4 linked regions of the Notamacropus eugenii genome follow. The protein of the gene in region 1 purifies or fractionates together with the protein of each later gene. This does not show direct contact. Links are inferred from orthologs where the notes say so. Each region holds a gene or a part of one and is shown in the gene's direction. Other genes may lie near its edges. The genes, in order: MAVS, ITCH, IFIH1 and BAG6.

The links.
Region 2: the proteins of MAVS (region 1) and ITCH purify together in Homo sapiens (affinity purification with western blotting; 3 studies listed by BioGRID). This does not show direct contact. The link is inferred for Notamacropus eugenii from reciprocal best matches to the Homo sapiens genes MAVS and ITCH.
Region 3: the proteins of MAVS (region 1) and IFIH1 purify together in Homo sapiens (affinity purification with western blotting; 12 studies listed by BioGRID and IntAct, with this or other methods). This does not show direct contact. The link is inferred for Notamacropus eugenii from reciprocal best matches to the Homo sapiens genes MAVS and IFIH1.
Region 4: the proteins of MAVS (region 1) and BAG6 purify together in Homo sapiens (affinity purification with western blotting; 3 studies listed by BioGRID and IntAct, with this or other methods). This does not show direct contact. The link is inferred for Notamacropus eugenii from reciprocal best matches to the Homo sapiens genes MAVS and BAG6.

What each region holds. Positions count from the first base shown.
Region 1 is NC_092872.1:735,786,430-735,793,273, reverse strand, and holds the start of MAVS (mitochondrial antiviral-signaling protein), read left to right. Parts: upstream 1-3,824; 5' UTR 3,825-3,955; intron 3,956-4,451; 5' UTR 4,452-4,500; intron 4,501-5,891; 5' UTR 5,892-5,904; coding exon 5,905-6,021; intron 6,022-6,316; coding exon 6,317-6,491; intron 6,492-6,844.
Region 2 is NC_092872.1:418,486,995-418,494,421, forward strand, and holds the start of ITCH (E3 ubiquitin-protein ligase Itchy homolog), read left to right. Parts: upstream 1-4,417; 5' UTR 4,418-4,436; coding exon 4,437-4,631; intron 4,632-7,427. UniProt on the Homo sapiens protein: Acts as an Acts as an E3 ubiquitin-protein ligase which accepts ubiquitin from an E2 ubiquitin-conjugating enzyme in the form of a thioester and then directly transfers the ubiquitin to targeted substrates.
Region 3 is NC_092876.1:221,886,401-221,894,109, reverse strand, and holds the start of IFIH1 (interferon-induced helicase C domain-containing protein 1), read left to right. Parts: upstream 1-4,689; coding exon 4,690-5,584; intron 5,585-7,709.
Region 4 is NC_092873.1:85,277,695-85,285,440, reverse strand, and holds the start of BAG6 (large proline-rich protein BAG6), read left to right. Parts: upstream 1-4,743; 5' UTR 4,744-4,878; intron 4,879-5,006; exon of another isoform or gene 5,007-5,133; intron 5,134-5,514; 5' UTR 5,515-5,524; coding exon 5,525-5,632; intron 5,633-7,444; coding exon 7,445-7,562; intron 7,563-7,676; coding exon 7,677-7,746. Other genes in the region: APOM (apolipoprotein M), read right to left, coding at 397-551, 932-1,045. UniProt on the Homo sapiens protein: ATP-independent molecular chaperone preventing the aggregation of misfolded and hydrophobic patches-containing proteins.

The sequences.
Region 1 (6,844 bases):
TCCACTCCACTCCACATTGCCAACAGGCCCAAGAAGAGATTGTGGAGAGTGGGCCAGGGGCCCAAGAAGCCCTTGTAATTGAAGTGAACCACAGGGTTTGCTCAGCATTTTGTCCCAAAGTGCTCCGATGCAGCTCGCCACCTGGATCTTTGGATCTTTAGGAGATTGATTAACAAGTGCTTTTTGGTTGTGTCAGGTTCCATGTCAGGTTCCTCTGAGGAGGAATGACCTATGCATCGATAAGTCTGTAAAGCAAGAGAGCCTTTACTAGCACGAAGCCCAGAAAAGCCTCTGGCAGGTGGGAATGAATTTATTTAGCAAGCACTTGTGTGTGTTTGTCCTTCATTGCTGAAGAAGACCTTGCTATCAGAGAAATAATGACATGACTTGCACTTGACTTTGTTTTGAGTGAGGGAGGGCTGTGCAGGTCACCAGCCTCACTTCTTCTCCAGAGCCACCTGAATCCAGTGAATCCATTCATCAGGATGACTGGAGATGACCCAGGATGAGGCAGTTGGGGTTAAGTGACTTACCCAAGGTCACACAGCTAGTGAGTGTCAAGTGTCTGAGGTGAGACTGGTACTGTATTCACTGTGCCACCTAGCTGCCCCAAAGCAAGCACTTACTGTGTGAGTAGCTGAGCTATAAATGCAGAAACAAAGCAGTGTCTGGAAGGGTGGCCGAATTGATTTGATGGTAATTCATGGCTCCAGAACTTCAGAGGTTCAGCAAAGGAGGAACATATTCATGGTGAGAGGAGGAAGTGAGGTGTAGCCAGGCTGGGGCTTTTCCTGAAATGCCATTCTGGGCTCTGAAGGGGGCTGGGGATCCCAAGAGGTGGAGGGGAGGAAGAGATTGCATTCCAGGCATGAGGGGTGGTTTGTACAAAGGTCCAGAGGGGGTAGATGAATTGTGTGTGCCAGCTAAGGAAGGCTGCTTTCAGCCCGGTCACTCCTCAGTGTCCACCCCAAGGCCCTCTCTTTACTTGATGTCCTTGGCTCTCCAGACTGAACTCTCACCTCTGTGTACAGCCCCAGCTGCACAAGCCCCACATCACCTCTTTTGTGAACTTCTCCAAGTGCATAGGTGGCCTTGAGATAGCTCCAGCACAAAATGTCCAAAACAAAGTCATTTATTAGATCTCAAGGCCCACCTCTTCCTAACTTAGCTAAATCTTGTGGGGAGTGGATGGAGCACTGGATGGGGATTCAGAAAGACCTGAATTTGAAACACGTGCTTAGCTGTGTGACCTGTTTCCTCATCTCCACCTCCACATCAAATCTGGTCCCAAATCTTTTGCATGTTTCTTTCTATTCCACTCCCCAATTTAGTTCCTCATTACTCTTCTCTGAACTATTGCACTAGCCTCCTAATTGGTCTTCCAGCCTCCCTCCCCTCTAGCCTAGCCTCCATACTCTTTGGGGAGCAGTGTTCCTAAGGCGAAGGTCCGGCTCTGTTGTTGTCCTGCTGAATAAAGTCAAGTGTCTCCTCTTAATAGAGAATAAAAAAATGCTTTTCTTGTTTGTGTTTTAGCTGTCCAGATTTATTGAACGTGATTCTACTTTTCAACCAGACTGTCTTGCTGGTTCTTTTGGTTGATGGCATGACATCTGCTTGTCTTTGGACTAGCTTTCCATCCTTCAGGCCCAGCATGTCCTCTGCCCTCTCCTCAGCCTTGCACAGTTCATGCAACACCTTCTACAGAAAGTCCCTGGGTCCTTCCCCAGAATATTGCAGGAAGACTGCCCTTGAGGCCTGTCTGTCTGAATCCTCAGTGACTGGCACAGAACTCAGTGCAAACTTAGTGGTGGATGAAATGTCATCTACTATTATTACTAACTGCTAAGTCCATTCTTGGTCAGTGAATGACCAGAGCCAGATTGTGAAGGGCCTGTAGTGCCAAACAGGGGAGCCAGTGTTTGGGCCACACAATTACGGAGAGCCCTTGGTGTTGGAGCAGGGGAGCAGCATGCTTGTACCTGGGCTTGTCATCTAGGGAAGCCCAGGGAGGACACTGACAGTGGGCCAAGGAATAAGCTATGCGGTTACCCAGCACTTTCCCACCCTGGTTTCCAGTTTCTTCTAGAAAGTAAAGAGATTGTACAAAATAACCTGAGGGAGGCCCCAGATTGGCCTCCCCCACGCTCCACAGCATGGAGCCCAGAGGCAGGCCTTCTTCCTCCCTTCTCCAGCTGGATTCTTCATCACTCCAAGTAGTCTTTTCCTAATGCATAATGTAGTGTGAAAAAGCCATAACTTACATGGAGGATCTGGGTTTGAGTAACTGGTCAGCGACCTGGTGTCAGGAAGACTCATGCCCCTGAGTTCAAACCCAGTCCCTAGCTGTGTGGCTCTGGGCAAGTCACCTCACCTTGTTTGCCTCAGTTTCCTCATCTGTAAAATGAATTTGGTTGTCCATGTGGCCCTTGGATTTTTATCCTAAACCTCCTTTGCCTACTGTACTTCTTGCCCAACGCCTCTGCGTGAGGCTAGATTCTCTTCTTACAACATGTCACAGCAGATCAGATGATGCAGAAACAAGACCCCAACTATTCAGCCAGACGTTCAAGAGCCTCACAACAATCGGTAAAACAATACTCACCAGACAGGTCCTGTTTTGGAAAATAGTTACTATGTTACTTTTAAGTGACTTTCAAAAATGTATTCGCTTTCCAGTATGGTCAATATCAATAGATACAACCCACCTTAACAAAACTTTTGGGTCCTCGGCAATTTTTAAAAGTAAATATATCCTGAGACCGAGAAATTTGAGAACTGAGCTCGATCCTAGGCCACTTGTAAGGGAAGAAGGGAAAAGAAACAAGCGTTTCCCGTTTCTCCTCCGTGTGCCCGGCACTGCTAAGCGCTTTCAGGAATACTGTCTCCTTTGATCCTCACATCAGCCTGGGAAGTGGGGGCCGGGGTGCTTAGGGGGACCGAGGCCGAGGGCCGGTGCCTTGCCCCGGGTCTGAGGATCCAGGTGCTCTCGCGTCTCCAGCGCAAGGCCCTCTAGCGCCACCTAGGAGCACCGGGGCACCTTCGCGGGCGACCTCGGACCCTGGCTCTGCGTTCTCCAGTGCTCGTCGGTTTAGAACGTGCGCTGGGGCGGGATTCACTCCTTCATTCCACGGACGCGGAATAAGGCGCCTGCCTGTGCCTCGGCCCGCCTTCGGAGGGGGACAGCGGGGTGCAGACCCGGCTGGCGGGGCCCGGGCTCTTCTCCTCCTCCTCCCACCAGCCAGGGCTGGACACGCCCTCCGCACCGAAGGAGCAGAGGCGACCTGGCCTGCCTTCCTCCCCGGGACAGTTAGAGAGCAGTCGGAGGACGGGAGCACGGGGACAGCCCCTGAAGAGCGACTCCCCTCCCCCCATGGCCTGTGCTGTGGCCAAGGACCCCCCTCCCTGGGCGACGGCTCCCCGCTCCCCCCGCAGTACTTGGCCTTCCTCCTCTGTCCGTTTTTGGGGTAACTTGTTGCCCCGAGACGCGCCGGATGGCGCCTGGCAGGGCCTGTTGACTCCTTTTCCTGTCAAATTTGGTCAAATCATTGCAGTCCTCTCCCCCGACCCCCTCCCTCCTTCCCCGACCCCCTCCCTCCTTCCCCCGACCCCCCCTTCCCCCGACCCTCTCCCTCCTTTCCCCGGCCTCCTTCCTTCCTTCCCCTCTCTCCTCCCACCCTTTCCTCCCTCTTTCCCCTCCCCTCCCTCCCCTCCCCCCTCTCGCTCCAGGCCCCGCCCCCTCGCCCCGCCGGCCAATAGGCGGGCGCCGCGAGGGCGGGCGCGAGCCTGGGCCTGGTCCTGCCCCCGCCTGCCGCCCCCGTGCTCGGCTCCGCTCGGGCGCTGCGGGCGCCTCCGCCTTTTCCCGGGGCAGCCTCAGAGCCTGGGCCGCTGCGCCAGAGCCGTCGCCAGCCTCGGCTGGACCGGACCGGAGCGGAGCTGAGCGGGGCTCTGCCCGCAGGTAGGCGGGGCGGCGTCTCGGGGACCCCCTCCGGGCCGCCCTGGAGGTCAAGGGCAGGGGAGAAAGGAGGGGGAGGAGCGGGCCTTGGGGGTAGGGCCGGTGCGCGGCTCGTCTGCCCTTGACCGTGGTCCTTGGGCGGGGGAGGGGAGGGGCAGCCTCGGAGTGCAGCAGGTGGGAGAGGAGGGGACTGAGGCTGGAGGGAGGGCGGGGGGGGGGGGGGGGGGGAGGGGGGCGGCTGGTCCACGTGGCCCAGACCGGGCACCTGCCCGCGGTCCGAGCCGTGACCTGGGCAGGGGCCGAGGACAGGAGTGTTTGTTTGGGGCCGTAGCCTGGTGACTCTGACCAGGTGCCCACAGATGCCGAGACCTCGTGGGGGAAGGGCACCCCCCTCCGCCCCGGGGCAGGGTCAGGCCGGGAGCAGAGGGGCCCCAGAAGGGCTCTCCCAACCCTGACACCCCGGGCCCCCTCCCCAATATCCCCTTCTCTCCGTCCTTAGGTGGCAGTGCTCGCTGCTGGAGCCATCAGAAGTGCCCTTCTGTGCTGAGGTAACTAGGACCTTCTGGAGATAAGACTTTACTCCCAAAGGAGTGAAGCTCTAATGGTGCATTGTACTGCCGCTGAATCACAACATTTGCCCAATTCTCTCATGCCATTCTTGGAAAGGGAGCCATGGATTAAATGATGGTCGGGTGAAGTGAATTCAGAACTAGTGAAGTGGTCCGGCACAAAGGATAGTCATTAATGGCCCGGTGGGAGAGGGGAGGGAGGTCACCAGTGCTCCAGGCCACCGGATCTTCGCTCGATCCTGTGCTGTGATGAAGGGATAGATTTTGCATCAGACTTGCAGGTGACACAATGCTGGAAGGGATGGGCATGGACTGGAACGTTAGACCTCCTAAGGATAAATGATGTTTTACACCTGGGCTCAAAAAGCACCGAGACAAGAAGAGGAATGGCTGGGCAAAAGTTTCATTGATAACTATATGGGGTACATCAGCTAGGAAAGCTGTGTTCTCCAAGAGAGCACTGGGGCAGTATTGTGTGGGCTGCAGGCTGTACTTTAGGAAGGAGGGTGGAACAGGGAGGGTGACCAAGATGTGATAGCCTCAAGATCATGGCACAGGAACAGGGTCTGTGCTGTAAAGAGGAGACTTGGCAGACACTGTCTATGGACCCCAGAAGGAAGAACTCAGAAGGATGGGCAGACGTTACCAAGAAGCGTTTTTAGATCTGATGTCAGGAAAACCATGCTAACAGAGCTGCCTCCTCAGGCTGTCATGGGTTCTCCTCTACAGAGAGTCTCCAAGGGAAGGCCGGGTGACACCTTGTCCAGATTCTTATTCAGGTGTTGGTTGGACTAGATGGCCTCTGAGGTTCCTTCCAACTCCGACATTCTGTAATTGGTTTGAAAGGGATCAGAGGTCATTTGGTCCATCCCTCTGCCTCCAAACCAGACTTCCCAACCAACTTGGACTGCATTGGATTATGGAAAGTCCTCAGGAGAAGAGAAAACCAGTCTCCCTGATCACCCTTGCTCATTGAAAAGGGGGAGCCTGGGTTTGGCTGCCCCACCGGTGTCTGTCAGATGACAGTCGCAAGCCTTCCTTTCTCCCTCCATCTTTCCAAATGCAAGAAGCCTCCGTGGTTCTATGGCCCCACTGATTTTTCCTCCATCTTCTGAAGAATTCTCCATCTCTGCTGGCGCTCTACTTGATGGCCATTGCTGGGCCAGTACGCTGTCCTCACTCACTTTAGAAACTGAAAGGAACTTAGCTCATGTTATTCAGGTTCCCACCCCTACCACATCTCCCTGAGAGGGAAAAGAGAATGAACTTCCCCAAGGTCACACAGATAATGAGTGGCAGGGCCAGGAGTCAGCCCCAGTCCTTCTGCCTCCACATTCTTCACACCACAGACTCATTCCTTTCCCCTTCAGGCCCTGAGTGACCATGCCTCTGGCTGAGGACCGAACTGAGCAGTACATTCGCTTCCACCTCAGTGACTTCTTCCGCATTGATGTCTTGGAGATCCTGTCCCACCTGCCCTGCCTCACCGTTGCTGACCAAGTAGGTGATATAGCAGAGGCAGTTTTCACCCTGAAGCTTCCTCTCCTCCTCTCCCCTTATCAGCTAGATGCAGAGGATACTCACACCCTCTGGGACACCTGCATCCTCTCCCCTGCTCCCTTACCCTTGCTCTCAAGGCCCCTGCCCTAGCCTATCCCAGACTTGTACCCTAGCTACAGAAGCTCTTCATAGTGTGTCAATCCCTTCTTTCTCCTCTCTGGGGGCTCAGAGGCTGCCACAGTCCTAGCTTGGGAGGTGAGCTCTCTGAAGCCATGGTCACAACTTTCTCTTCCAGGACCAGCTCCGTGCCTACATTGACCGTCATGGAAACCGTGACAGTGTGTGGAAGCTCTTTGATCACCTTCGTAAGCGCAATGGCTGGGTGACCTGTCTCATCACAGCCCTGAAGGAATGCGAGCTGACGGACCTCGCTGATGTCATTGCTAATGTCTATGCATCTAACCAGGCCCGTGAGTGCCCTTCCTTTTGTCTTCTTGCACTGGGAGGTCACTGAGCACCTCCCCCAGCCTTGGTGTGTCTATGCCTCAGCACCTTTCCTCCCTTCTCACCCTCTCATCTGCTCTCTCTCCACCTCCACATGTGTGTGTGTGTATGTGTTTATTCTATCTGTTTATCCTCTCTATCATTTCTATTGAACATCTTGTCTATTACATCCTTCTGTCTGTCTTTCTATTCATTCCACAAGTGTCTGTTAAGCTGCCTGGCCTGGCAGCTGGGTGGTGCAGTGGATAGAACACAGGGCCTGGAATCAGGCAGGATCATCTTCCTGAGTTCAAATCTGGCCTCAGACACTTGCTAAACT
Region 2 (7,427 bases), about 320 Mb from region 1:
CAAGTAGAAAAGCAAGGAAAAGACAAGAGACCTGGTTTCTTTCCAAGCTCTGGTATTTACTGCACAGCCTAAGCTCAGTCATTTCCTTTCTCTGTGTCTCAGTGTCCTCTCTTGTTAAATGAAATTAATAACATTCGGACAACCTCACAGGGTCTGTGAGGATCCAATGTAAAGTACTGTATAAATGTCAACAGTTATTATAAATATGGCCAGACCTACTCTCAGACCCTCTTCTTGCCTATGCCTGGGCAAAGATTTGCTGGTCTTCGCAGGACAGCTTTAAGGGCCATGGTGCCTCAGAAATACCGTCCATTCACCAACATATTTGCCATTTACTAAATACCTGAGGTATACCTCTTTCTAGCACTGAGGTAGATACAAAGTATGGATAAAAATATTTTCTTTTTTGTTTTCCATAATGCCAAAGTGCTAGTGACCTTAAGTGGCTGCTTTGTGAAGTCAAGAGAAGATCTATTAAATCTTGGAGATGGAAAGGACCTCAGATATCATCGAGTTCAACCTATACCTGTATCCTCTATACATTTGTTAAATGTGATTATTCAGTCTCTTCTTGAATACCTCTGACAAAGAAGAAATAATTATTTCCCAAGACAGCTCATTACATTTTTGAATATCATTGATTGTTAGAGAGTCCTTATGTTAGAGCTTATTCTGCCTTTTCTCAGCTTTCATCCATTGCTACTGTTTCAGCCTTCTGGGTATAAACAGAAAAATTCTAAACTCTCTTCTATATAACATCTCTTTCAATACTTGTTAACACTGTTAAAATAATTAGCTTGTTTTAAACTTACAAGCAATCACAAAGTACTCTTCTCTGAGACTTAAGGGACTTTATTTTAAATGAAAAGTTACAAGTTTCAATCACAATCTCTTAGAGCAGCCCCAGTTACAAAAATTCCTAATATTTAGGCAGAGATGGAGCTCTGCTTCAATTTACATTTATATCTATTTCTAGTTAACCTTTGGCCTCTTTGGAGGTAGGGGCAAAATTCATGTTACTGGAAATATTTGGGCTGAAAAAAAAATAAGACTATATTATAGTGTCTGTGGATAGAGAGGCACCAGGAGAGGAATTTGGGGAGAATACTTTTTTTCCTTCAGTACTTCCCTCAGTCCTTGAGTAGGTGGGGCACACTGTAGAGTCAGCCTGTAGAACCAATAACCCTCCTGGATATCTTTCTTCTCTGTCCTTTTGTTGGTTAGTTGCTTCCTATAATATCAGTTCTTTCATGCCTGCCTCTGTATGACTCTTTCTTCCTCTTTTCTTAAAATTTAGAATTTTTATTCTGAGATAGCTCCTTTTATACAATTTCTTTAGGACATAACCAAGTCTCAAACAATGCCTTGGATTGACTCAAGAAGGTGTAAATGCCCAGTTTACACCAGGGTCTTATTAATTCATTCTAACAAAAGTAATTATTTTTAAATGGTTGGATAATCAAAGGATTTCCACTCTTACTTTTGAAAGGTAGCATCAGAAAAACAAAACAAAACATTGGATTTGGAGTCAAAGAACTCAGGGTTAGACTTCTGGTTTTACTATCATGCTGTTTGTACAATATCAGCAAGTCATGTTTCACCTCTGTTTTTTTTCTTCTGTAAAATGACATCAGACTAGATGACCGCCAAAGTTCCTTCTGGCTTTATAGCCTATGGCTCAATTCCCTCTTCCCCTATTCTACTCTTATCTGGCTAAACTTCGCCCTCTAAATGATTGGAGAAGGGTATGGGACAGTAGCAGCTTCTAATTTCTTGGCTCTTACTGATTGTATGTGTTATAAAGTCTTCATGCAGGAAGGTGGAGAGTTGCTTTAGTCGCTACTGAGTCTTGTGGCATAGATCTTTGAACTCTGATCAGAGGTTTTCCTGTGCTAGCCCCAAAGGCCTCTGAACCCAGTATGTTGCATATGAATGGAAGGGAGGACTCTTTGCCTTTCCAGGCTGGACAGCCTGAGCCCCTCAGCTATATTCCTTCCCATAGCTTATATTCTTTGGGACCCAGGATGGTACAGTGGCATGAGCCCCAAAGACCCAGGTTCTAGTTCAAGCTCTGCCTTTAACTATGTGACCTCTGGCAAATCATTTTCCCTCTTTTGGACTCAGTTTTCCCATCAGGAAACTGAGTAAATACTGAGATTGGATTTGACAATCTGAAGTCCCTTCTAATGCTATGATCATGTCTTGTAGCACCTTGTAAAGCTGTGTATAGAGTAAGAGGTTTCTTCATATCACTTTAATACTGTGCCTTGGCTCCTAGAAGGACTTCAGGCTTACTTGTCCTGTTTTAGTTAGTCTTATGTAAACACACGCTGAAATTTTTCAGGTTATATGGCAAGAGAAGGTTATCCCCTAGAAGTTCAAGGATGCCTCCATTGTCCATCTCTATAAAGGTAAAGAAAATAGATCGTCCTGAGATAATCACGGGGTGAGGGATGGGGGTGGGAGGGTGGGGGTGTGTCTCTCTCTTAGTCACTGCTGGCAAGATTTTTATTAGAGTCCTCCTTAATAGGCTGATCCTTCACCTGGAAGATGGTCATCTAACTGTGAGCCAGCGTGGCTTCATAAAGGGCCAAAGCACAGTTGTTATGGTGTTTGCTGCCTGACAACTCCAGGAGAAATGCCAGGAGCAGAACAGAGGTCTATACACAATATTTATAGATCTGACCAAGGCCTTTGACACTGTCAGTCGTGAGGGCTTATGGAAAATTACGTCAAAATTTGGTTGCCCAGAGAAGTTCATCAGTATTGTATGTCAATTTCATGATGGCATGTGTGCCCAGGTTCTGGATAGTGGACAATGCTCTCGTGCCTTGTCAGCCACCAATGGAGTGAAACAGGGTGGTGTGCTTGCTCCCATGCTTTTTAGCATGGTGTTTTCAGCCATGTTGTCAAATGCTTTCAATGAAGCTGAACATGGCATCAAGGTCAGCTACCATACAGATGGTAAATTGTTCAATTTGAAAAGGCTACAATTCAAGACCAAGGAGGAGGGAGTGTTGGTGCATGATTTTCTGTTTGGAGATGATTGTGCACTCAATGCAGCCTCTGAAGCTGAGATGCAACAAGGTATGGGTCAATTCTCTGCTGCCTGTGCTAATTTGGGCCTAATAATTAACACCAAGAAAACACAGGTGTTCCACACATGGAACCATCAGTTACAACAAATGGAGAAGTTTTGAATGCCATGGATAAGTTCACTCACTTTGGTAGTGTACTTTCCAGGGATATACACATTGACAATGAGGTTGACACACTCATTACTAGAGCTAGCTCAGTGTTTGGGAGGCTCCTAAGAAAACTATGGCAGAGAAGGGGTATTAGATTGACTACCAAACTGAAGTCTACAGAGCCGTTGTGTTGACCTCATTGTTGTATGCCTGTGAAACTTGGACAGTCTACCAGTGCCATGCCAGGAAACCAAATCGTCTCCATTTGAACTGTTTTAGGAAGATTCTGAAGATAGGTAAGGTACCCCGACGCTGAGGTCCTTGCTTGAACTAAATTGCAGGGCATTCAAAATATGCTTCAGAGAGCGCAACTTTCATGGGCTGGCCATGGTTGTTTCAATGCAAAATGTATGCTTGCCAAAAAGACCATTTTATGGAGAACTTGTATAGGGCAGATGGTCACATGGTGGTCGGAAGAAGTGATACAAGGACACTCTCAAGGTCTCTCTCAAGAACTTTGGATTTGATTGTGCAACATGGCACAGGACCGCTCAGCATGCTGTGCCCACATCAGAAAAAGTTCTGTGCTCTATAAGCAAAGCAGAACTGAAACAGCACAAAGGAAACGGAGGATGCACAAGTTTGAAGTATCCACCCTAAATGTTCACATCTGTGACCAGTCTGTGGTGAAGCATTCCGACCTCGTATTGATCTGATCAGTCATAGTCGGACATACTGAAACTGGACTTTATCATGGTGATGTCATTTTGGTCTTCGAGAATGAAGGACAACCACCATGTAAACATAGGTACCTCTTTCCTTTATTTGCCAAACGGTAGGGCCAGGGTTATTATCCAGATTGGTGTGAGGCAGACAGGGTACAGGGGCTGGAGCTGGTACTAGGACTGGCGGTGTTACCCAGCACTGCTGTGAGACAGGAAGGACAGGAGTTATCATGCCCATTTTACAGAAGCAGACGTCATTTGTTCTGGCAAATGCCACGACTTGCTCAGGGTCCCACAACACTTGCCGGCGTCAGAACTCAAACCCGGGACTTCCGACTCTTACGTCTAACGATGCAACCCGTGCCCATCTCACACTCAGAACTTCCAGAGAAGAATCGCCGAGACCCGAATCACCTGCCCTTGAAGTATCTAGGGGAAGCCAGCTGCTTCAGGATTTTTCCCCCTCCCCTTTGCCCCGCCCCCAAACCTGGCACCTTTCGCTGGGAAATGGGCGGGGCTCGCGATGCCTACTAGGACTTGTAGTCCCGGCCGCTCCCTGGCTCCGCCACCTCGGAGCGGCCGCGCCTGCGCACTGGGTGCCGACTTTGGCTGCTCGCCGTGGTTGGAGCTCGGGAGTGGCTGCCATCTTAGCCGCGGGACTGAGGAGCTGCTGCTGCCGCCGCCGCTGCCGCCTCCTCCTCCTCTTCCCCCCAGACCGGTAAACACCTGCGGGAGGGCGGCTGGTTTAGAAGCGGGGCGAGGGGGAGATCTCGGGGAGGACGGACGGAGCCGTGCCCCGCAGGGAGGGAGGGAGGGGTGGCCCCTTGGTTTCTGTGAGCCCCCTCACTGCCGGGCCCGGTCCGCGGGAGGGGAGAGGGACAAGTGGGGCCGCCGGGCGCGGGGGAGGGGGCCGGCACGAGCCCGGAGCGGCGGCGGCACGCTGGCTTGTGGGGCTGGCGAGGCGGAGGGGCTTGGAGTCCCCCGCCTCCCGGGCCCAGAAGTTGTGTGTGGAGGAGGCGGAGAGGGGAGAACGAGGGTGGCGGGGCGCTTCTCCCCCCTCGCTGCCGAGCCCAGCCCTGCTCCGCCCCGCTCGGCTCTGCTCCGTGCCGGCCCCGGCTAGCTAGTGACTGGGCGCGAGCCGCAGGCACCCTGCTGCCGGGGTTCCGCGGGGGGAGGGGAGCGTGGAGGCGGAGGCTTCCCCGCCCCCCGCTGGCACCTGGGCCGGGCCGGGGCGGGGGGCGGCTGCAGCCCCCTGGGACCGAAGGCGTCCGGAGCGAGGGCGAGCGGGCGAACATTGCCCACTTGCTGTCCCCGCCCCCTTCCTGCGGCTTCATTTCCAGGACGTCTCACTCTAGCGCTGCTCTGGCTTTCCCGAGTCCACAGCTTTCACCTGGTTCTTTCAAATCGCACCCGCCAGAAAGAGAGGGAGCGACTGACGAACCCTCCTCCTTCCCATTGTCCTCGCTGGCTGTTCGGTTCCCTTGCCTTTCTCCCCCGGGGCTCTGGTGCCTTCTGTCTGCGCCCGCCCCCTTGCCCTCAGTGCAGTGTTTATTTTCTTGGGTCATTGAAGCTGAGATGACTTTTAAAAAAAAAGCAACCGACCAACACAGGTGGAAATGAAAGCCCGACAGTATGATGATGGTGGTGGTGGTGGTGTGTGGGGAAGGGGGTGTAACTTGTTTTTAAGACGAGTATTTTGACGTGAGTACTTAAAGAGTAGATAAAAACACCAGCTCTGTAGGGTGGCGATAGAGGTTGGGTCTAAAATTAGTCATCTTGCGTGTAAACAGGTGAGCTTAAGCTCTCAAAAAGGCACATTTCTTAAAGGAGAGTTAAAGTTGATTCAGAACAAAGACAACTTTGTTTTAGTATACCTCTTAATTTTTTCCCATACTTCTTGCCTTCTCATAGGATGGGTTTCTGTTATAGGTTTTATGTGTATATGTATGTTGTATGATTTTTGTTGTAGAATTTTTTCCCCCCTCATGTTGTAGAATAGCCAACTGCCACTGCCTTCTTGCTTTTAAACTATGGAGAAAGGCTATATTTACAAGACAATGAATTAAGTAGTGCATTTCTATTACTTTCTTTCACTTTCTAAACCAGCTATGGGTATTTAGAGATTTATTTTCTAAGAACCTTTTCACCACAGAAATGAACTGATTTGAGATCTGGTGAAATCCTATCCTGTTTCTGAGTTTCAGTTAATGTAAAGGACTCAATGGCAAATACAGTGGCTTCAGAGACAGTGACTATAAGGCCCAAATAATTACATCTGTATATTTTCAGCTATGCAGAAAAAAAGTTTACTGTTGCCAAGTGATTGCCCTGTCAGATTGGTCAAAGGGGCTCATTAAGAAGGCTGAATAACACAGTCTATTATATTTGAGTTCAGTTCCTAGGGAGCCATTCCTTAATATTTATGTGAAACACCACCAATTAGTACCAGGTCAGTTTGGGTTTTGAGAAGAAGTAGGAGTTTAGATTGAATGGTATGAAGAGCTAGTGCTCTATTCCAGGGACTAAAAAGTATCTATCTAACTTCCTTCCAGTCAAGCAATTAGCAAGAATTTATTAAGCTTCTGCTACATGCTAACCTATGTCTACCAAAGAAATAAAGACAGAAATGAAAAAGTCCTTGTTCTCAAGGATTTTTTAGTCTATCACAGGAGACATGTACACATTTAGGTATGTACCAGAAAATATTCATATGAGTCTTTGGTGTCAAAGCTTTGGGCATTCTTTCCAAAAATGCAGATTGCAACCTATTCATACCTACCCATTTTTTGGTGAGGTCCATGTTGTCCTAAAAGTTCTTCAGAGAGGAACTACTCAATGGGGAGGAGATCATCCTTTTCTCTATTTGCCTTGATATCAGCAGGGTACCAGTGGAACAGTGTAGCTGTCCACTGTAATCCTTTGCTTTTACTATATGACAAACCATCTTTTTCTCTCATGTGTTTTTTGGGTAGCATTCTTCACTCCTGTTCTTTGAAGTTCTTTGTTGGTTATGTGTTGTAATCTGTTTGTATAGACTACGCTTTTCTGTTACCCTTTCTATGATACTCATCCTTTCTTTAGAGGCAGTAATACTCTACATCTTGTTGCTAATGTAGAACACTGGTAAAATGATAGTATTGAAAAAAACGTGCCTTTGCTTTCATAGGAAACTTGGGGTCAGTAAAAGACCTTTGCAGCTTTCTGAAAACAATCCTCCTGTTCATTTCTGGTCATGTTCCTTCATATCTATCTGTATTGTGTGTCCTAGATATACAGAGTGTTGGAGAAGTTCTGTGGGTGTCCATCAAAATCCATGTTGAAATTGGAACAATAGACATTTTCATCCACTTGGTCTGTCTTGTTAGTTTGGGTAGGAATTTTTTCACACGCACACACGCACACACCCACACACATGCTTTTGTCTTGTAATTGTCTCCATCCTTTACTTTAGTTAGCTTCCTGTCATTTGAGTTTCAATTTTATTTCTGTAATTTGCATCTCTACCCTGGTATTG
Region 3 (7,709 bases), on another chromosome or scaffold:
TTTAGTAAGTCCCTTATGACTTCTCCTTGCTGTTTACCTTTTCATGTTTCTCTTCATTCTTGTGTTTGAAAGTCAAATTTTCTTTTCAGGTCTGGTCTTTTCATCAAGAATGCTTGAAAGTCCTCTGTTTCATTGAAAGACCATTTTTTCCCCTGAAGTATTATACTCAGTTTTGCTGGGTAGGAGATTCTTGGTTTTAGTCCTAGTTCCTTTGACTTCTGGAATATCCTATTCCACACCCTTCGATCCCTTAATGTAGAAGCTGCTAGATCTTGTGTTATCCTGATTGTATTTCCACAATACTTGAATTGTTTCTTTCTAGCTGCTTGCAATATTTTCTCCTTGACCAGGGAACTCTGGAATTTGGCCACAATGTTCCCAAGAGTTTCTCTTTTTGGATCTCTTTCAGGCAGTGATCTGTGGATTCCTTGAATACTTATTTTGCCCCCTGGTTCTAGAATCTCAGGGCAGTTTTCCTTGATAATTTCTTGAAAGATGATGTCTAGACTCTTTTTTTGATCATGGCTTTCAGGTAGTCCCATAATTTTTAAATTGTCTCTCCTGGATCTATTTTCCAGGTCAGTTGTTTTTCCAATGAGATATTTCACATTATCTTCCATTTTTTCATATTTTTGGTTTTGTTTTGTGATTTCTTGGTTTCTCATAAAGTCATTAGCCTCCATCTGTTCCATTCTAATTTTGAAAGAACTATTTTTTTCAGTGAGCTTTTGAACCTCCTTTTCCATTTGGCTAATTCTGCTTTTGAAAGCATTCTTCTCCTCATTGGCTTTTTGAACCTCTTTTGCCAATTGAGTTAGCCTATTTTTCAAGGTGTTATTTTCTTCAGCATTTTTTGGGTCTCCTTTAGCAAGGTGTTGACCTGCTTTTCATGCTTTTCTTTCATCTCTCTCATTTCTCTTCCCAGTTTTTCCTCCACCTCTCTTACTTGATTTTCAAAATCCTTTTTGAGCTCTTCCATGGCCTGAGCCCATGTATATTTATTTTGGATGTGTGGGATACAGAAGCCTTGACTTCTATGTCTTTCCCTGATGGTAAGCATTGTTTTTCCTCATCTGAAAGGAAGGGAGGAATTATCTGTTCACCAAGAAAATAACCTTCTATAGTCTTATTTTTTTTTTCCCTTTTCTGGGCATTTTCCCAGCCAGTAACTTGACTTCTGAGTTTTCTTTCCTCACCCACCTTGCCTCCAGATCCACCCAGCCAGCAGGGTCTGAGATTCAAATGCTGCTTCCCAGCCTCAGGGCTTTGGGTGCGAGCGGGGTTGCTATTCAGTGTGAGATTAAGTTCAGGTGCTCAGGTGGGGGCAGGGCCGCCACTTGGGGCTCAGTTCCCTCAGGGAGTTTATGTGGAGATCTTCAACAATGAATCCGGGCTCCTGCCTGCTTGGGGAGCCCCTGTCTGCTGCTGCCCCTGCTGCTGTCTCCCAAGGGGGCCTGAGTTATAGGGACACCCCACTCCCCTCCTGGCCAGCCAAAGAGACCCTCTCACCAACCCTTGTCACCTGTGGGTGAACGGACCCGTGTGGCTGCTGGAGATTCTGTCCCTGAAGCCTGCTCGGATCTGCTCCTCTCCGTGCTATGGCCAAGGCAGGGCTGGGCTCTGCTCTGGGTCTGGGGCATGGCAGACCTTTCACATCGGTTTTTCAGGGCTCTCTGGAACAGAAATCTCATCTGCTCCGTTGTTCTGTGGCTTCTGCTGCTCCAGAATTTGTTGGGAGTTCTTCTTTACAGATATTTTATGGGCTGTGGGTTTGGAGCTAGCATATGTGTGTCTTTCTACTCCGCCATCTTGGCTCCTCCCCCCTCAAGTATTCTTTAAGTCAAATTAGCAAAGGTTTATTGTAACACCAATATAGAGGGCAGAGCTTCATGCAACTTAACAGGAATGATGCTAAAACTTATATAGGAAAAGTAATGGATTATCTGGCAGATATGCTAATTAGATGATAACTTGCAACCTTGGTCACTGGCATCATTCACTACTGGAAACCAGGGGAAGAGGTTTTTAAGGGGTGTATTTTTGGTGTTACATCTGTGGTAAGGTAGCTTTGAGAGTTGATTTCTATAACTTGACCTCTGGATTGAATATGATAACTTTGGGAATCAATACATGATAATTCTGTGGTTACAAGATAGTCCTGTTTTTACAACAGAATTTCTTCAGAGGTCAGCTTGTTCTTGTGATGGGGAAAGATAGTTTGTCTTCCTGGGGCCCACTCGTGAGTTATTGCTAGGCATACTGTCCTTGGGCTGGGGAGAAAACTCTTAGTGTTTTGAAGCTGGGGAGAAATGTGATCTTGGAAATGGGGCCCGAGCATAAGCACCCCATCAGAAACACAGTTTGTTCTGGGCTTTGAAGAACCTGTAGGGCATGAAAAAAATTTAGGAAAGTATTTTAGAAATTCAATTCCATTCAACGATCAGATGTGAGTAAACATACCAAGAGATAGCCATGCGCCTGGTGTGTTAAGGGTGAAAAAATGAATTGACCCATAGAGTTAGTGTTGAACAATACTGACAAATAAGATTTCAGAGGTAGAGGCCAGATTATGATGAGCCTTGAATGCTAGGCTAAAGATCTGGAACTTTGATAGTGGACTATTGCAGAAATTTTTTGAATGATATATAGATAATGGTGTTTTTTATAAAAATTTTTATTGGAGCAGTGTGTAAGATTGATGGGATTAGGGAGATGTCAACTCCATAGAGTAGTCTTTACCTTAGATGTTATTGCCCTCTATTTATGTGTAAAAGTTGTAAAGAAACATGTGGAAACCGAGCTCAATGTCCCCATCCCCCCCCTTCCCCTCCTAATATTACAAAATAATATTAGGAGCATACTTTAATCTAAAGTTTTAAAAGTCTTTCTTTAATTGTTAATCCTGAAACAATGTCCTACACTGACATCTTTCAAAAATCATTTTCATTGAAAACCCAATTAGTTTCTACAGAGAAAAGCCTGATTAGTCAAGGACTCCTGCTTGAAGTAATTAGCACAATGATTTATGAGAAGGAAGTTTTTTTTAAATTCAATTGATAGAAATGTCTCTTCACTTGAGTTCACCAGTAACTGATCATCTGCCGTCTATGAGTATCTAAGCCCAAGAATCCCAGAAATGACAAGACCCCCAGACCATCAGTTTGGTTTCCAACCCAGCCTTCACCTCAGTCATTCCAAGACTTCTCTCTCCTCTATCCGAGGACATATAGCAACCGCTTCTGTGGATGCTGCAACCACAGCTACTTAATACCAAGAAAAGAAGATTATTGTTTCCAAAATCTTTGACCCTGTTAAATTGTTCAGCATGACAAAGTGATATGAGTTAATCAATGGAAATGACACTGAACATGATGCATTACCATATGCTTCACCATTACAACCTAAGGACCTAGGACTTTCCTATCTGACTTGGAGCTGAAACTTATCTATACGTTCTTCCCCATTAGAATGGGAGCTCCTTGAAAGCTAGAAATGTCTTAAATTTTTATTTGTGTCCCTATCCCTAATTCAGTGCTTTGCAATATAGTAAGTTTTTAATAAATGGCATTCATTCGTTCCTTCACTTTTGATCATGAGTAAAAGACAGTCCTTAGAGGCAGTGGTTAAAGAGGGACTGAATGCTGTTATATCACTGGACTTGATCCATCTGAGTGTTACCTACATTCTGTTCCTTAAATTCTGAAATTTGTTTGATCTTGACTGTGAAATTTTGTCTTTGTTTCTGAAAACTATAAAATGTATGAAGAGCTTGCCTGGGGAGGGGGAGTTTCAATTAGCAGGGGTAAATGTGCCATTTATCTCTCCTTCCAACTAGCAGAGAGAGTGTGTGTGTGTGTGTAGGTGTACATACACACACATACATTTATATATGTGTGTACAGCTAACATTCATCTAGCGCTTCAAGGTTTGTGAAGTACTTTGTATATGTTACTTCACTTGGTCCTCATGACAACCTTGTGAGGTAGACGTTATTTTTATCCTCCTTTTTATGAATAAAGAAACTGAGGCTGAGAGAGGTAGGAGCTTTGCCTGAAGTCACAAAGCTAGTAAGTGTCTGAGGCTGAATTTGAACTCAGGTCTTCCTGACCCAAGTCTAATAGTCTATCCATTGTACCACCATATACATTAATAAAATGTCTCCGACAGATCTGAAGTCTAAAAAGAAAGTACTTTTTTCTGAAAAAGAGGGAGGCAGAGAGAAAGAGGGAGGAGGAGGGAGATGGAGAGCTCTTCCACCTACCTCTCACGCTGCAGTGCGCTCTTTACAGACTTTCACCCAGCTGTCCAAATTTTCCTGCATCACTTTCCCGAACCCATCACTGCATCTGTTGGGAACAGAAGCGCTGACGGCTTGTATACGTCTTTCACGGACTTGAAGCCTTTCTCAGTCTTCTCTAAAGCAAGCAAGGGAAGTTGGGGAATCTTAAGTCAAATCGGGAAGGGCCCTGGGAGATCGTTTAGCCCCGCTCCTGTATCTTATCAAGGAGAAAATGAAGGTCTCCGTAACCGGCCCGGCCCGGAGGGGAGTCTGGGGCATGCACCCGGGGCTGCTAGAATTAGGATCCTGGCGGACGCGGGGGCTCTGCCTCCTACTCAGCGCAGAGCTGCTGCTCGCTCCTTCACCCAATAAAGACCTACTTTATTTTGCCTCTGAATAGGCAGGTCTGCATGAATTGTCCGTATATACGTTCCTCCCCAGCCGCAGCCTGGCTCCGCCCCTCTCTTCACGCACGGAAGCTCTGGAAGCCGGGAATCGAAACAGAAATTGTCCCGGTTCAGACTTTAAAAACTAAGTTCCCCGCAGGCCACCAGGCGGAAGCTTGGCCCCGCGGACAGCCGGCGCTTGGGCTGTGGGACGAGACAGGTGGTGTCACCGCGACCGGGGGCCCTGCCGGTCCGAGCCGAGCCGGTAGAGCTGCCCAGGGAGCTCTCCTTGTGTCCGCGGGCAGTCCTGGCGGAGCAGGGCGCCAGGGCACTCAGCGCCGCGCAGGCCGGCCAGCCGGAGCCATTCCGGTAAAACCCACGGTCCGCGCCGAGGCAGGACGAAGAGGGAAGGGCTCGCAGGAGCGCGCCGAGGGCCCCTGGGCTGCCCACGACCCGGGCGAGATGTCGAGGGAGCATTCCCCGGAGGAGACCTTCCGCAGTCTGCTCCTGTGCTTCAGGCCCAGGCTGAAGCGGTACATCCGAGTGGAGCCGGTGCTGGACTACCTGACCTTCCTGGGAAGAGCGGAGAAAGAGCAGATCCAGCACGTCGCGGCCTCGGAGGGGAACACGGCCGCGGCCGAGGTCCTGCTGAGCACCCTGGAGAGAGGCACGTGGGGGCCCGGCTGGACCCGGGAGTTCCTCACGGGGCTTCAGAACGGGGGCTGCCCCTTGGCGGCTCGCTACGTGAGCCCGGACCTCGCCGACCTGCCCTCGCCGTCCTTAGAGACCTGTCACGACCGGTGCGTCCAGCTGCTGGACCTTCTGCAGCCCACCCTGGTGGACAAGCTGCACGCCGCTGATGTGGTGGACAGGTGCTTGGAGAAGGATCTGCTGACGAAGGAAGACCGGAACCGGGTAGGTGCCTCCTCAGAAAGAGCCCTCTCCTGCCCCCGGTGTGCACACCTGTGTGCGCGCACCTGTGTGCATTCTGGGGCACCTCTGACCGAGTTATTCCTTGAGAACCCGATAGCTCACCTGGCCAGGTGAAAAGACAGCCCAGTTCAGATCTGGTCTGCCTCTGCGATCTTGGGCAGATCACCCGATCTGTGTGTGCCCCAGGAGGGAGCTGGGCGAGATGGCTTCTGAGGCGTTCGTCCACTTGGAAGTTTAGGATCCATGACGCGAGAGAGCTGTTCTCTTACTTCATCCCTGCCCCTTCCCCCCCCTGCCAAATAAATATTGATTAGACATAAAAGGTTATCAAAGACAGACTTTTTAAAGTGGGGGCATTTTGCTTCTGAGGATGTAAGAGAATGACTCTGTAGCTAGCTGTACTCAGGGCTTCATGATCCCTGTCCAGTCCCATCTTTCAGTATGAGCAGTGGTTATGTGGTAGCTTATGTCATGAAAAACTCATAATACAGACATTTTAATGAGAATGTTTGGTATTTTAAAAACGGAAAGGGAGACGTTCCTATGTTGCAGGAATCAGTGTGCCTTTTAACAGGTCAAAGATGCCACACCTCTCTGACGTATTGAGTAAGAGCTCTGCCTTTGGTTTCAGTATGGAATCAATGGCTTATATAGTTTTATACTCACTTTTAAAATTTATCTTATTTTTATGTCACTTAAGTTTACTCCATTATCTTGCCCAATCCTTCCCCTCCAACTTATATAACAATTAGAAAAGTAAGAAAAAAAACATCAATTAGGTAATGACTGTACCCCTTGTGGGGGTACAAGCAGGATGATTTCAGAAAAACCTGGAAAGATTTACATGAACTGATACAAAGTGAAGTGAGCAGAACCAGGAGAACATTGTCTACAGTAATAGCCATACTGTATGATGATCAACTGTGACTGACTTAGCTATTCTCAGCAATACAGTGATCCAAGACATTTGCAAAGGACTCGTTATGAAAAATGCTGTTCGTCTCCAGAGAAAAAACTGATGGTGTCTGGATGCACATAGAAGCATACTGTTTTTTATCTTATTGTGTTACTGTTATTTGGGTTAGGGGGGAGATCTGTAGAGTTTTTTTTCACAGCATAACTAGTATGGAAATATGTTTGATATTGCACATGTCTAATTATGTCAAATTGCTTTCTCTTTCAGAGAGGAGGGAGGGGAGAGAGGGAGAAAATTTAGAACTAAAATTAAAACAATGTTAAAAATTGTTTTTACATTAGAGAAAATATTCAAAGAAAAAATCAAACCTAATCAATGAAATTTTTAAAAAATGTGACAATATATTCAGTATTCCATACTTGTGAACCTCTCCACCATCTTTGCAAAATATTGAGAGAAGATGGATTTTTTTAATAGCTTCTTTGGGGCCAAACTTATTCTTTGCAATTTTACAGCATTCGTTTTCAGTTATTTTGTGGTTCTGTCCATTTACCTTGTAGTCATTGTGTAGATTTTCCTGGTTTTGTTTATTTTACTTTTTATCATGTTCATGTAAGTCTTTCTATGCTTCTCTGTATTCACCACATTCATCATTTCTTACATCGCAGTCATATTCCATTATGTTTGTATAACATAGTTTGTTTAGCCATTCCCCAGTTGATAGGCATCACTTGTTTCTCATTTATTTTTGTACTATGTGTTAGATACTGTGCTAAATGCTAGGAATACCAAAAAAAAAGGCAGAAGATAGCTCCTGCTCTTGAGAAGCTCACAGTTTAATAGGGGAGACAAAATGCAAACGGCTATGTATGGGATAAAGTGGAAATAATCAAGAGAGGGAAGGCACTGAAATTAAGGGGGAGTCAGGAAAGCCCTACTCCTGTAGAAAGTAGGATTTTAGCTGAAACTTGAAGCCAGTGAAACAGAGGTAGAGATGAGAATGGGGATTGGTATGGTATGGGGGGTGGGGGTGGGAAATGCCTGGAGTCTGAAGATGGAGTAACTTGTTTGAGGAGCATCAAGAAGGCCAGAGTTACTAGAGCTCAGATTATGTGGAGGGGACTAAAATGTTAAAAGGCTGAAAAGGTCAGAAGAGATCAGGTTATAAAAAGACTAAAAACCAAACAGAAGATTT
Region 4 (7,746 bases), on another chromosome or scaffold:
GAGTGACTCTTCCTCCACACAAACAGATAAACTCTTTCACCAATCCTTTTCTCCCTTCCATTTAATCTAACCCATTCAGCAAAGAGCCCATTTTCTTTGTCCTGAGGGAAGACAACTGGCCTGGCAGAAAAATTTTGTATCTATTAATCAGGATGCTAACCAGGGATGAACTAGAGACTAGAGTCAGCTAACCCAGAGAGGTCAAGATATTAGGAGACTGAATAATAAGGGCCCTTGATGGAATCCCAATTATCTAATGGGGAAAGGCCATTACATTTAGCAGCTGGCAATGGTCCAAATAGAAACCTAACTTTAGCTCAGACTCTGGGAATTTCTGGCTTGAAATAATAAATGGAGAGAAAGGTACCTGATGGGATACCCTTCCCCACAACTTACTTTCTGATGGTGGCCTGTAGTTGGAGATTTTGGGGAACATGGCTAGCAGCCATGTTGAAGAGAATGTTGTCCACTGGGACAAAGATCTCCAGATCTTGCTTTGTAGAAGCTGCACCGGCAATGAAGTACCATTGACCCAGGTAGGGTCCAGGGAACTGGATGAGCAAGACAGGAGGAGGGTATGAAATCAAAAACTCTTCCTTTGCAGATAGGTTTCATTATCCTTCACTCAACCTCATCCCCCAATGGTTCTGGAACTATGGGTGAGCTTCCATTTCATTTGCCCCAGGTCACTCCTACCTCTTTTAATAAGGCTTTTTCATTTGTTAAGACCTTTGGGCTTACTACTCTAAAAGTCTCAGTACTCTTTTTTATATCCGTTCCTTGTCATCACTATCCCCATATCATCTTGTACCTCCAGGTATTCCCCCAGGCTCCCCACTTTAAGTCCCTCAAAATCTCTTCTACAGACCACCAAATCCCTGCTTAATTCCCTCCTGTTGTCTTTCCCCTACCCTCCTTCCTGCCCCCATACCTCTTTTCCATTTACTTCCAGAGGACTTAATTGATAAGGCTTAGAACACTGGTAAATGGAGTCATAGAGAATCCCGGAGATGTAAAGGACAGATTTCCAAATTTGGTAGAACATCCTCAGAGAGTATAGTGCAAGGGTGGCAGCTGCCTGAAACTACTCTCCTCTGTGAGTTCTGTCCAGTGCAGCCTCTGGCCCCTTTCCTCAACCCTTGATCCCCTGGATCTGCTAATGAGTAACTAGTCTTGTTTTCCAACCCAACTCTGGGTTGTTGACAGTGTTCTGGGCTTTCCTCCCCCTCCTCAAATTACATACTAGCAGCATAACTGGGAGTTTACACCTGGCTGGGGGAGGGGAAGGGTGCAGCCTTCTGGAGGTTCCTTCATTCATTCACTGGCAGTATTTATTGTATACTATATTCATAGCACCATGTCTGGTGAGGGAGAGAGAATATAGACAGAAGTCCTGTCCTCAAAGAGCATATTATCTAATTAAGGAGACAAACACTGCAGCAAAATCATTACATTAAAAAAGTAATTATTAAGTACTTTTTATATACTGTGCTGGGCATAGAGAAAGATATATTAGATTTCAGAGGAACCTAAAAAGTTCAAACCCTGCATTTTTAACAAATAACCAAACAGGTCTGAAAAAGGAGTGATTTTTCCAAGGTCACATTACTACTAAGTGGCAGAGCTGGCAATCAATCCAAATCCTCTGACTCCAAGTCCAGTAATTTTTTTTCAACTTTTTTTTAAAGTTTATTTTTAGTTTTCAACATTCACTTCCATAAGATTTTGAGTTACAAATTTTTCCCCTTTCCTCCCCTTCCCCCACCCCAATCTGATATAGACTCTACATATACATTATACATATAGTCCTACAATATGATATAGGCTCTACGTATACATATAGGTCTGCAATCTGATATAGGCTCTACATATATATATATGTGTATATATGTATATATATATGTACATGTACATATAGTCCTGCAATTTGATATAGGCTATACATATACATATAGGCCTGCAACCTGATGTAGGTCATACATATACATACAGGCCTGCAATCTGATATAGGTGCTACATATACACATATATGTACATATACACAGAGGCCTGCAATCTGATATAGGTGCTACATATACATATATATGTACATATACATACAGGCCTGCAATCTGATATAGGTGCTACATATACACATATATGTACATATACACACAGGCCTACAATCTGATATAGGTGCTACGTATACATTCATATTAAACATTTTCACATTAGTCGTGCTGTAAAGTTCAGTACTCTTTCCATTAAACCAAATTACCTTCTGCTACCTATCCTCATTGACCTCACAATCTCATAGTGCACAAAACATACATAAATAACTATAGTGCAAAGAACAAAAGTATATGAGAGGAGCAAATAAAATGCACCTTTCTGCAAAATAACAGGATCAGTTGGGGGATGAGAAGCAAACAGAAGGCTACTATTACCTGAAGGAAATGTCACTTAAAGGTAGCTTTAGAGGATGAATAGGATTAGGAGGTAAGAAAGTTTGAGAAGCAAATAACTCCATTTTGCAGAAGCTTAAATGTTCAGAAAGAAATGCATACAAGGGTTAAACAATAGTGGGAAACAAGGATGCAAGAGAAATTTTCGAACAATAAAGCACAGCCAAATTTATAAAATCTCAGAGTTGGAACCCTACTCAATGGGGAACATATAGCCCACTATACCCCGCTCCACCCCCAAGGGCTATACACCTATACCTTAAAAAGAATCTACTCTAATCATCCTCTACTCCTGGTCATCTGGTGTTTACTTGAATGACTCCAGTGAGGGGAAACCCACCACCTAAAGAGGCACCACTCCCTTGCATTTGCAGAAGGCTCCATTAGGAAAAAACCCAATATATCTGTCCATTGCTCCAAGTTCTGACAGCTGGGGCCGCAGAGGAATGGTAGAATTACTCTAACAAATGACAACTTTTCAAATACTTGAGGACAGTTATATCCCTCCTTGAGCCTTCAGTTTTCCAGCTAACAAATCTCCTGTTCCTTCCATCAGTTATGAACATATTTGTATATGTATGTATATTAGGGACAGCTTGATGGCCCAGGCCTGGAGTCAGGAAGACCTGAGTTCAAATCTGACCTTAGCCGCTTATTAGCTGTGTGACCTCGAGCAAGTCACTTAGTCACTTGGCAAGTTTCCTCATCTAAAATGAGCTGGAGAAGGAAACTGTAAACCACTCCAGCAGTATCTTTGCCAAGAAAACCCTAAATGGGGTCACCAAGGGTTGGATGTGACTGAACAACAACAAAGGTATATGTATGTATCTGTGTATGTAAATTTCCTCCAAGTCCCTCACCATCCTGGTTGTCCTCCCTTGAATGCTTCCCAGTTCCTAACTGTCCTTTCAAAAATGTGGTACCCCAAAGTGAACACAGGACTCCATATGTGATCTGACCAGGGCTGAAAATCACAAAGCTATTTTCCACATTCTGGACAACATACCTCTTTTAATGCAGTCTATGATAAATCTTACAGGGGGAAAAAAAAAAGAGGGCCTGATCTGAGATTCAATTGGTTGGATTTAAATTGGTAATTAATAAAATTGCACTGGATAAATAATTTTTTGTCTTTAGCCCATTTTGAAGGCCCAATGTAAAGAAAAATCATCTTGAACAGTGAAAGCTATGTAAAAGCTGAATGAGCTGTTAAAGAGTAGTTGTTCTCTCTCATCCAGGTCTTCTAAGTAGAATCTTGATGACCCCTTTGCTGGGGATTTCTTGAGGAGAAGCTTTTGCTGAGGTATGGGTTGGAATAAGCTGCCTCTTAAATCCCTTACAGTTCTGAAATGGTGACCCTCCTAGCCCCAAGGGGACCTCCAAAGGTCTTGCCTAGCCACCGAGCACTACTCTCTGGATTTGTCACCTCCTCTATGGTCCAGACTTCCTCTGGTTCCCCCATTCCCTATCCCTGGTCTTTGTCCCACTACCAGCTACCACCTTCCATTTCCCTTCCCCCACCAGCATTAAGCAAGAGTAACAAAATGGCAGCAACCTCCGCCCTCAAAAAATATGGCCTCTTTACCTCTTCCCCCACCCCCTCCATTTAAGGCAGAGATGTCAACGAGTGGTTTGGCTACTCTCGTGACCCTTAGGAAGGAAAAAAAAAAAACGCAAACCCGCCCACGTATGAATCCCACCCTGAAAAACTTCGCGTTGCCCAAAAGAAATATGGCGGCTGGCTCGTGCCCCTCTGAATGAACATGGTGCGGAGCCCCAACCTTCACCGCCCCTAACCGCCTGCTTGGAAGGTTACCTAAGGAGAGGTGGAAGCGGGTTTACTTTAGGTGTCTAAAATATTGCCGTCCGATGGACGCGGCCAACCGCGAATTTCTTCCCTTTTTAGAGAAGCAACCTCCATGCCAAAGGCACAGTCCTCCCACTCACGAGAGAACAGGTCTTTTGCGAGATAGACGGAAAGCCCCAACGGGAAAATTACTTTCAGGCATTTGCTGTAGTCATCCGCTACGCGACCTCCCCACCCTCCTCGCGCTGTGGCGCAGGCGCGCACTGTAGGCTGGTAAATCCAATCAGTGGGGCGGGTCCTCAATCGTGTACGCAAGCGCAGTGTGGTTTGCGCAAGCGCACTAAGGTCCCCCGGGAGGCGGCGACGGTGGCTCCTGTGGGTGCTCGGCTTCCTCCCACCTTGGCCGAGCCCCGACTCGTTTCCTCTTAGGGGCTCCCCGGTAACCCGGGCTGCCCCTTTCCTCGTCGTACCCCACAGAAGGAAATCTTGGGGACCGGGGGAACCGGAAGTGCCGTCTCGCGACCCCCCAGTTTCTATCGGGGAACAGGAAGTGTTCGTGCGGAAGTGTGGGGGCAGGACCGGAAGTGGCGTTGCCGCCGGGAGGCCGGGGGCGGAGCCGCGGGGCAGGTGTGTGTATATGCGTGTGTGTGTATGTATGTATGTGGGTGTACGTACTTACCAGCTAGTGTGTATGTATGTGGGTGTACGTACATGTATGTATATGTGTTTGTACTTGTGCGTAGTTCTCACTGTACCACCGAGGGGAAGGGTGACATCCAGCTAGACCGGGGCCTCTCTTTTCCTTCCGTCATTGTCCCGATTTCCTGATCTGTCGCGACAGAAGCAGGCTCGCGGGCTCCCTATCGCGGTGGGCGTGGCATGGTGCGCGTGCGTGGCGCATGTCTCCCTGGTCCCTTCTCACCTTCTTGACAGAAGGGACCTCCCAATCTTATTCAGGCCTTTACCCCGCACGCCTTCCCCTCCCCCCCATCCTTTTTTCTCATTCTTGTCCTCCTTTGGGTCGTGACAGATGCTGCCTTGACGTTATTACAGGCGTTATTTCAAAGCCTCTCCTGTATTTGAGTTACTGCTCTTGTTATTCTCTTCCCCTCACCCAGGGTTAGAAGCTCAATGTGTGTGTGCTTGGAGTTGGAGTGGGGGTTGGATTCCTTGGGGAGTTGTGGTAGAGTTTGGATCAGCACTTGGAACGTAGGAACTTAGCTAGATCCTGTGATAACAATTTAGTCTTGTTTTCTTCTTCAGCGTGTTCATCATGGAACCCAGTGATAATAGCAGCAGTGCTATGGAGGAACCAGCCAACTTGGAGGTACTGGTGAAGACCTTGGACTCCCAGACTCGAACCTTCACTGTGGGGGCTGAGGTGAGAGCTGAGGGTTCAAAAATCTTCGGAGTTTCTATAAAAAGCTTTTCCTTAATCACTTTTTCATCCTGAGAAAAGGACCCACCAGATTCTCTGTCTGTCTTCTATTTACATGTATTATTCATATTGAACATCAGTTAGTGGATTTTAGAACTGGAAAGTAGTTTAGAGATCATCTGGTTCTCTTCATTTTGTAGATAAAGAAACATCTCATGAAAGTGTTCTGATTGTTGTCTGGGTCACAGAGAGATGCATTTCCTAAGAGGACAGTCTCTTTATCATATGAATAATTATGTTCTTAGGAGAATCCTAGAGGCAAAAAAAGAGTATGAATTTCTTGTCCTTGAAGAGCCTCCAGCTGTAATGGAAAAAGATATGGAACCTGTGGGGGGTGAGGGTGGGGGCAGGGCACGCTGGCAGAAACCACAAGTAGACTTGAGAAAGTATGAGGGTAATTAGGGATGTTTCTTTCCTTAACTTTGCTGGCTCATAATAGTTTGGCTCTCTAAGGCAAGGCCAACAAAACTACAAGGCTTCCAAGTCCCATCAAGCTGGAAAGGCTTTGATTACGGATCCAGCAGTGTACTAAATATTTGTCATTTGAGAAATACTCAGAGGAGGTTGATCATCACAAGATTGGCCTACAAATGAATTTTTTGTTTACAGTAATTTATTAAACTATTAAGTAGTAGAATAGTTGTGATCCATATCAGTAGAGAAAGTATAACATGGATGAAAGTGAAGAACCTAGAAGTAGGGTTGTTTGGGGATATTCTCAAGTTTTGAAATCTCACGGAGAAAAACCATTTATCACTTCAAATCATGCCCTGGTTTCTGGCACAGGGACAGAATAACTGAGTTAGGATACACCCTAAGTCTGGTTTAGTTGATCAGTATTGTGGAAATAATGGTATACTTAGAGTTAGGAAAGATTTAGGATTGATAAAATCACCAAACATCTCTAAACCTAGATTTCCTTATGAGTGAACTAGAAATGATAAATTTATAATACCTCTCTATGTTATTTGCTTTTGCAAAACTGTAAAATGCTCTATAAATGTTTATTTTTACTATTGTTGTTAACTTGATACAAAGACAGCAACGTAAGGAAGAATATTTTGTATGTGTATGTCTATATATACACCTACGTACATAAACACATTTATACATGTATGTGTATGTCTACTTATACATAGATAACACAAAAAGCCTATTTCTTTGGACATGCACAAGTCATTAATCTCATCTGTTAAACTAATCTCATCTGATATCCAAACACAGTCTGGGACCCTGTGTCTGATTACAGTTCCTTTTCCCTCACAGAATGTTCCCTTATTAACCATACTTATATCTATGGTAAGGTTCTCCCTACCTGTAACTCCAGACATAGAACCAAAGGGAAGGGAGAGAATATAGGACTTAACGGGACTCTGTTGTTATGTCTTAATTCTCTCCTGGGCTAGCCATTGAATTTCCATTTAAAACCATTGCTGTGATTTCACATGTGTAATTGATATCATATTGTTGCCTCTCAGTGGGTGTGGGAGGGACGGAGAGAATTTAGAATTCAGAATTTAAAAGGAAAATGTCAAAAATAAATAATAAATTGCAATTTTAAAAATTGCTGTTTTCTGTCAGGTATTTCTTAGCCCAGAACCTTGCAGGCAGTGGCTACTTCATAAATGTAATAAAATGGGCAATGATTTTTATAACTGTTATGTGACTCACCCCCCCTCTACCCCCCACTAATTGCTTGATATTCTGCATTACATATTCTGTGACCTTTCTTCCTGTTCCTTTTCATCTCTGCAGATGACAGTGAAGGAATTTAAGGAGCATATTGCTGCCTCGGTCAGCATCCCTTCTGAGAAACAGCGACTCATATATCAGGGGCGAGTTCTGCAGGATGAGAAGAAGCTACAGGAATACAGTGAGGGGCTAGATGGGGCTTCAGGAGAAGGATTATTTGCTGGTTGGGGGGAGGGTTGAGGTATTTAACTGACTTTTCCCTCACTCTTCTCTTCTCTTTTCTCATTTACTACAGATGTTGGGGGAAAGGTGATCCATCTGGTGGAGCGGGCCCCTCCACAGACCCAGCCTCCATCCTCTGGGGT